Linked DNA regions of Macaca fascicularis. The protein of the gene in region 2 interacts with the protein of the main gene of each other region in a pairwise test. Links are inferred from orthologs where the notes say so. Each region holds a gene or a part of one and is shown on either strand. Other genes may lie near its edges.

What was found.
Region 1: the proteins of CLK4 (region 2) and UBL5 interact in a two-hybrid assay, tested with the Homo sapiens proteins (2 studies listed by BioGRID and IntAct). The link is inferred for Macaca fascicularis from reciprocal best matches to the Homo sapiens genes CLK4 and UBL5.

Annotation. Positions count from the first base shown.
Region 1 is NC_088393.1:10,369,022-10,373,563, reverse strand, and holds UBL5 (ubiquitin-like protein 5), read right to left. Parts: upstream 2,906-4,542; 5' UTR 2,763-2,905; intron 2,506-2,762; 5' UTR 2,495-2,505; coding exon 2,439-2,494; intron 2,243-2,438; coding exon 2,159-2,242; intron 1,997-2,158; coding exon 1,959-1,996; intron 547-1,958; coding exon 503-546; 3' UTR 392-502; downstream 1-391. UniProt on the Homo sapiens protein: Ubiquitin-like protein that plays a role in cell proliferation and sister chromatid cohesion by associating with spliceosomal proteins. Participates thereby in pre-mRNA splicing by maintaining spliceosome integrity.
Region 2 is NC_088380.1:185,417,406-185,421,219, forward strand, and holds part of CLK4 (dual specificity protein kinase CLK4), read right to left. Parts: intron 2,965-3,814; coding exon of another isoform or gene 2,907-2,964; coding exon 2,804-2,906; intron 1,992-2,803; coding exon 1,925-1,991; exon of another isoform or gene 1-1,924. UniProt on the Homo sapiens protein: Dual specificity kinase acting on both serine/threonine and tyrosine-containing substrates.

The DNA.
Region 1 (4,542 bases), on a different chromosome or scaffold from region 2:
AAGAGCAAGACCCTGTCTTAAAAAAAAAATGGTGCCAGGAACTGTGGATGTTTAAACATGCTTTAAACTCATCTATACCTCCTCAGGTCTGTGTGATTTCAGAATCTTAATTCCTAACAATTCCATCTACTGTCATGACCTGGAGGCTCTTTGGTCTATTAGGGTGACAATAATCCCAGCGTCTCTTGACCTTCAGACACCCACAGCAAACCCCAGAGCTCTCTCTGGGCTCCTACACAGACTCCCAGCCTGCTGGTCTACTCTGCCCTCATGGATCCAGTTGATCTGGAGCTCTTATTTCAGCAGGTACATACTGATGGTGCAGTGATGACCTAACAGCGACCAATCCATCCATCACTAGACAGCTCTCATGCAAAGAGACAGCAACAAAGCAACATCTAAGTCTTTATTAAGGTGAGTTTTTACAAACAAGCATCTATCCCAGTGTGGGGGATGAGGATGGGAAAGGAGAGCAGGGCAGCAGGAAGATGAGGATTCTCATCTATTGGTAATAAAGCTCCAGGTTCATCCCATCGTGGATTTCATCTGAAGGAAAGGTGTTAAGGAATCCTGACTCTGGCTTCCATCCCCACCCCTCTCATCCATTCACAGCTGGGTCAGGGTGGCCTGAGGTCTCAGTTCAGGGCTAAGGAAGCCCATTTTGGACCAGGCCATTTTTATTTGGAGAGAACTGAAACTTTACCAAAAAATTTCTGGCTGGGTGCAGTGGCTCACGCCTGTAATCCCAGCACTTTGGGAAGCTGAAGCAGGTGGATCACTTGATGTCAGGAGTTTGAGACCAGCCTGGCCAACACTGTGATGTTTAAACACAGTGAAAACCCATCTCTACTAAAAATACAAAAAAGTTAGCTGGGTGTGGTGGTGGGCACCTGTAATCCCAGCTACTTGGAGGGCTGAGACAGGAGAATCGCTTACACCCAGGAGGTAGAGGCTGCAGTGAGCCAAGATTGTGCCACTGTACTCCAGCCTGGGCAACAACAGCAAAACTCCATCTCAAAAAAAAAAAAGTTTCTGTTCCTTCTAGGCCAAGTGTAGTGGCTCATGGCTATAATCCTAGCACTTTGGGAGGCCGAGGCGGGAGGATCACTTGAGGCCAGGAGTTCGAGACTAGCCTGGAAAATGTGGCAGAACCCCATCTCTACTAAAAATACAAAAACTAGCAAGGAGTGGTGGCACAGGCCTGTAATCCCAACTACTTGGGAGGCTGAGGCAGAATTGCTTGAACTCGGGAGGTGAAGGTTGCAGTGGACCAAGACCGCGCCACTGCACTCCAGCCTGGGCGACAGAGCGAGACTGTCTCAAAAAAATAAATAAAATAAAAATTCAAAAAGTTTCTGTTCCTTCTGCACAATAGATATACCTAAGTCTCACCCCACCCTGACCTACTGTCCAGCACTCAGGTGGAGGTCAGTAATAAATATTTTGAACTTGAAGTCAAACTTTCACCAACTACCCTCTCCCCAACCAAATAATTACATAGCTCTCATGTTCTTCTTCTTTTTTTTTTTTGAGACAGTCTTCGCTCTGTTGCCTAGGATGGAGTGCAGTGGCACGATGTCGGTTCACTGCAAGCTCCGCCTCCCCGGTTCAAGCCATTCTCCTGCCTCAGCCTCCCGAGCAGCTGGGACTACAGGCGCCCGCCACTATGCCCGGCTAATTTTTTTGTATTTTTTAGTAGAGACGGGGTTTCACCGTGTTAGCCAGGATGGTCTCGATCTCCTCACCTTATGATCCGCCTACCTCGGCCTCCCAAAGTGCCGGGATTACAGGCGTGAGCCACCGCGCCCAGCCTAGCTCCCACTTTCTAAGTGCTCACCATGTGCCACGTACTAAGTTAAACACTTAATAAACATTATCTCATGCAGACTTTAGTTTGGAACGAAGATAACCGAGGCTGGGTATGTAGATGCTTCCTCAAGAAGTCACACAAAGGATACAGTCCCCCAGAGACACGTGGTCCTTAAAAATCGTGTACCTAAGGAAAAGAGACATTTCAGAGATAAGGCTAAGTAGGCTCTTCAGCCTGGAGGCCGAATGAGGTAGCCCAGCCTAAGCAAAGGGCTGCTTGCAGCGCTCCCCCAAACCAAAACCTTCCGGCCTAGTCCAGTCCACCCAGTGGCTCTACTACTGCACTCACCACTTCTTCAGGACAATCTTGTTCCAACGGGTGCCAGTTTGGGCTGCAATCAGCTTCTTAAGGTCCCCGATAGTATCATCCGTGCTGGGCGCAGAGGAGTTAAGGCAAATGGGAGCGGTAGAACGAGGAAGAGGACATTCCAGGGCTGAATACCATCTGCCAGGACCCCATCCGCCCCCTCTCCCGGGTTTAACTAAAACCATCCGACAACAGATTGAGTTGCCTGCCTCACGCCAAGCACCCCTGCGAGTACCACTGCCTCTCGGCTGCCAATGGATACTTGCATTTAACGCGGACCTTCTTCCCCAGACGGTCGTTGCAAACAACCTCGATCATCCTAGCTGGAGCTACACAGAGCAGTGGGGTGGGAAGTAGCAAAATCAGAGCTTCGGGCGTCTCCCAGACCCAGAAGCCCCAGCCTACAAGTCTCCCAGTCCCAGGCCCTAAAATTCTCGGTTACTGAGCCTTCCGTTCTGCTCCCAACCCCCCGCACTCGAATACTCCCAGGCCAAGTCCCCTGTCCCAGGGCCGCGAACCCCAGGCAGCCGCGCATCCGCCCCTTCTCGACGCCTGAATGCCCTGACACAAAACTCCCTGGCCTCACCTCCCACCGACCCCAGACCCTGGGTGGCTGGGTCGCGACAGCTTTCCCCAACTCCGAGCCTCTCCGCTTGACCCCCTCACCTCGAATCGCCTCGAACCTGCCGACGCCACTAGCTCCTCACCCGAGCGCAGAACCCCGGCTGCAGTTGACGCTGGGAACCGGAAGCGGAAGTAAAAATGCGGGGCCGGAAGTCCCGCCCCTAGCCAGGCGGTGTGGTCAACACGGGCTCAGGTTCTTCCGGGTCTGCAGTCTGTTGTGTGTTTGCGGTTCACAAGTACGGTTTCCGTGACCCAAGGCTTGGCAGGGGGACGCCTGCGGTAGGCGCGTGGGGTAGAGAGGGGGGTCTTGGCGGGTGTGGGGCCGGGGAAAGGGCGTGGAGCGAGAGCCAGAGGTCCGGCGCTGGCCCCAGCTCTTTTTAAGTCATTGTTGCAGGGAGACTCGGTCACATGGTGGGACACCAGAGGGTCCCGGGGGTGGGGGCCCGAAGCCTCTTTATGCGGGTACTAGGAGCGAGGGCGGAGGGAGTAGGGGGAGCGAATTCTGCAGTCATCCCTTCTGACCCCCTGGGTTCATTCAGGGCTGGGCGTCGTGAGCATTTTGCTCACCTCTGCCCTCTGGCCATCGCATTCCCCCGGGATGCGGACTCCAGTCAATAGGCGAAGCTGGATCCTGGACTAGACTCTACGCTGCCCAATAGCTGCTGTTACCGCACAGTTGCAGGCTCTTGGTGCCCCGAACAAAAATTTGAACGAGTCACACAGAGATAGCAAAGCAGCAAGTTTATTAAGCACAGTATTCCACTCTCGGAGGGGAGAGCGGAGTGACCTCTGCGAGATAAGATCAGCCCCAGCTTGGTGTAGTTTGGGTCTTTTTTTTTTTTTTCCCGACGTAGTCTCGCTGTGTTGCCCAGGCTGGAGTGCAATGGTGCGGTCTCGGCTCACTGCAGCCTTCGCCTTCCGAGTAGCTGGGATTACAGGCGCCCGCCACCACGCCCGGCTAATTTTTGTAGTTTTTGTAGAGATGATGTTTCACCATGTTAGCCAGGCTTTTCTTCTTTTCCCAAGGCTGCCTAATCTGTAGCCAGTGTCTACCTTTTTGAATGATAGGTGTGTTGCTTAGTTACTTTGGCCCCTGTGCGCTTGAGGGCCGTCTTCATTCCATAATTTTAAGTACCTGCATGATATGCCGTCCATATGCATGAGCGCTAATGAGCTGGTTATCCTTACGTTAAGGATACTTTTTGTGTTTAATGCGCATGCTTATGCCTAAAGAGCTGTTCCTTACTGGTTTGGTCCTGATTTCCCTGGCCATGGGATTTTTACTCAGTTTTTAATCCTCCTTTTGTTTTGTCTCCTCAGCTTCTGCCATTTATCTTGCTTCTTGCTCACCCGCCCCTTCACCTTGCTTCTGCTCTCTGGTTTTACTTATTTTGCCCTTTATCCAACGTTTAATTCCCTTTGCTCTTCTTCTGCTTCATTTTCTTTGTTCTCCTGCCTCACTGTCAGTCACCAACCTTAAATGCCTGCAAGGTAACTGGAAACTTTGGACAATTGCACAGTCTCCTGCATCTATATCTTTGGGGAGCACTCCGTACCAGATTCCAGGTTTGCGAGGGCTGGTGAGACAAGGGCCTTCCTTCCTCAATTCAGTCAATTTGTAAGCCAAAAAGTATCTGAGACAGGTCTCAATCAATTGACAGGTTTATGTAGACAAGGTTAAGGACATGCCTGTAATCCCAGCACTTTGGGAGGCCAAGGTGGGCAGATCACGAGGTCAGGAG
Region 2 (3,814 bases):
AATGACCAAGGCTGAGAGATTATATAAACAAAGTCTACAGAATTACACAGGCTATGGAAAGGGTAGACAGGATGAACAGACTGATTTAATTTTTTAAAATATCCACTGAATGCCCAGTGAATATTTCACTATAGCCTTTAAAATAGCCAAGACGGATGAGGGTAAGGGCATTCGTTTTTATATATCCACAGGTCCTGTGGGAGATAAAAAAAAAAATTATATAAGGCAAAGTCCCTGCCAACAAATAATGAACAACTTGAGATTACTCACATAAAAATGAAACAAAATCCAACAATGTAGGAAATTCTAAAAAGTTACAACACATGAGTGCTTAGAGTCAGAGATGGGGAAAAAAATCTGTTTAAAATGGTCAGAGAATAATTACAAAAAAGATGGAAATAGAGTTGCATCTTAAAGGGAAGCCAGGATTTGGACAAAATAGAATACAGAAGAAATTCTGGTGGAGAAGAATGGCATGTTACCATCTTAAATTCATATGACACTTTTAGCCACAATGGCTTAGAGATGGATTTGTCTATGCATTACTCAGGAAAAAGGCAATCCCGGCAAGAGCAATTTTCACACAGGGGAATGTAGACAAATAAGTAAGCTGAGAATAGCATCATTAAAAGCCCTGCATGCTAGGCTAAAGAGTATTTCTCAAAAGACGGTCTATTTATCAGCAATATCAAATATGGAGTTCTTATTAAAAATGGTAACCCTGGGCCTCAAGTCATACTCACTGACTCTAAATCTGGTCAACATACCTCCAAGGTGATTCTTATTCACACTAAAGTTGGAGAATCACTGCTTTAAGACTTGATACTTTATGTTACAGGCTTCTATGCACAATATAAAGATAGGGTTTACAGCCACATCAGTCTTTCTAATGCAGAATGGATTAACTAAGCCTGTAGAAAGGGAGACCAATTCACAGGCTACCTCCAAAAGACAAATCATAAAGACAAGACACTATGCAACATATATATGACAAATGGTTAAAATAATATGTCATAAAAAGCTCTTCTAAATCAATAAAATATACTTTAATAAACAGGCTAAGAATAAAAAGATGTTCAAATGATCAATACTTATGTGACAGTGGACAAATTTGTTAGAAATTTAAAAATTCAGTTTAATCAAAACATTATTCTTGGCCTTTCAAAACAGCCAAGATTGGTGAGAGCATGAAGGGGCACGTTGTATAATTTGGCAAACTTTCTAGAAAAAGAAATATGAACCTGTAGCAAGAAACCTTTAAGAGTTCATATCCTTTACCTTAAAAATGCTTCTTCTTGGAGTGTATTTTCAGGAAATAATCAGCAGCAAAGATTTAGAAACAAAGATTTTTTTTAAATTATAATTTTACAGCTAAATAATTGGGACTAATATCCTATAGAGATTACCATTTTTATACTTTTCTGCATTTTTCAGTTTTTTGTTATTTTATAAAAACACTCAAAGTTTTTGATCTTCAAAATTAGAACATTCTGGATTATGGTGAATGTTGACCACCAAACACATCTGGTACCAATGTCAAAGAAGGTATTGGCCTGGTGGTTAACTGGACTCAGTATCATGTTTATGTAATTAACTATGAGCATGAATGAATTATTCATCACTCGTATCACTTCCTTTCTACATATATAATGTATAATTATCCTATTATCCAATGAGTAACTAGTACTATGACGTTAAGCCTTAGGGTTTTTTGTATTTATTAATAGTGGGGTACAGATAGTTTTCTTTAGTATACTGTACATTAATTATTAATTATTTCTGGTCTTTGAAATCCTGCCATAAACCTTCCCACTTCCCCTTATATAACAATGTGTATGAAGCATGATTTGTCTGCACTGACTACAAATAAGCTCAGTTTGGCAGAACAAGTCTGTTAACGTGGAGAAGGAAAGAAATTACATACTGTTTTTTAAAGTAACCCCAGCTGGCTAATTTAGAAAGCAATCTGGTAAACAGTCCCAATGGAACATCTGCACAAAACAAGAAGAAAACAGAACCAACAAAACAAACGAAAAAGGGAAATTAATGAAACAGTGAAAGAAACCTACCTAGCCTTTCTTTAATCATTTAGAACTTTAAGATTCCTTTAATTCTATATAAATGTATTACCTCCAAATTTTACACTGGTAAGAATACAATACAACAGGACACACGCTGTTGCAAGTTTTTTATTGAGGCCATTTCCCAAAATTACTAGCTACGACCTATGAAAACAACAGTTCTTAAATAAAGCCAGCTTCTAAAAATCCCAAACAAACATATCCCTTGGCCTCATCTACAAATACAATACAGTGTTTAAGTGACTAATAATACATGTTGCTTTTCTCTGTTGGAGTAACTCCTCCCCTATAAAACCCTATCTGATTTCTGAAACACTTAATGAGCGCTACAACATACACGTCTCCCTCTTATATACAAATTAAAGGTACGCATTGGGCATTCGATCACTATTACTTAACTTTTTGTGTGTCATCTCCCTAGTCACGTTACTGGCAGCTGGGACGCACCATGTTATTTAATACATTTTACATTCACTTACTGATCAACTGTCTCCTACCACTCCCAGGGAGACAGACATACATAAGGATAAGAACTTTGTTTTATTCACAGCTGCAGCCTCAGCACCTATAGTCTAGTCTAAAATAAGTACTCAAATATTTTCTAAATGAGTATTTGTTGACTGAATTATAAAACAATTTGACAGATGAAAGCTATACAAGCAAATGACAAATCATTTAAAACTATTAGAGCTACAATGCTACTAGTTCAAGAGTTGATTTACCAATCAGATTCTTTAAACTGGTGACATGGTTTACAATGCCTGTTCTCTTGTGTGCTACTATGAGATCTCCTCTTCCGCTTGTGACTTCCACGGTAGCTTTCATGTCCCCAGCTTTCTCTGTTATCCCAATCAGGGCAGTGAGTTCGTTTGGAATGCCGCATCTGTTGATAGAAATGAAAAGGGAATTGCGGAGGTTATAGATGTGTGATAGGTAAAATATTATATATTAATATTATTTATCAAAACCCAACACACAGGGTCTTAGAGGCTCCAAATTCTTTTTAGGTGGTAATGTTTCCCAAGGCACTGGTATGTCAGATGACTGCTAAGAAGCATAGAGATCTAGTATTAAACTGTGGGTAATACTGATACCTTAAGACATTTTTTTTGAATTCTGATTACATCCAGGACAAATTCTCAGCTTGGTGCTTGTCTTCAACTAACACTTGCAAACTGACTTTTTAAAAATTAAAAAAAAAAAAAAAAAAAAAAGGGCCAAATGAAAAGGTTCAGGGGTACCGTTTCCAGCGGACAAGAGTATTTAGCTAAAAATTAGTAACTTTTTTGTTTTATCTTGTTTTGTTACTTTCTACTTATTAGTGATTTTCCAATTAAGTCACTGACATATTTTCTTTTAAAAATGTTAACATTAAAATGTGAGCTGATTTAAGGAGAAATAATATCACAGTGTCATGGAGCTTTGGCAAATTACTGTAATACAAATAACTTTAGTGCGAGACAAAAATACTTAGGGATACTAAATATGGGAGGTGACTTTGTTTTAACTGTAAAGAGCTATTCAATGATGAAGCTTTTTTTTCTCAAATTCTCCAAAGTTCTTTTCTCTAAATCTCAGAATGACTCTAAGCTTTGGGAATATTAGTTCTGTGTGGATAGAACACAATATTCAACAGAGAAACTGAAGACATATAAAAAGGTGATTTTAGGCCGGGTGCAGTGGCTCATGCCTGTAATCCCAGAACTTTGGGAGGCCAAGTCCAGGAGTTTCAG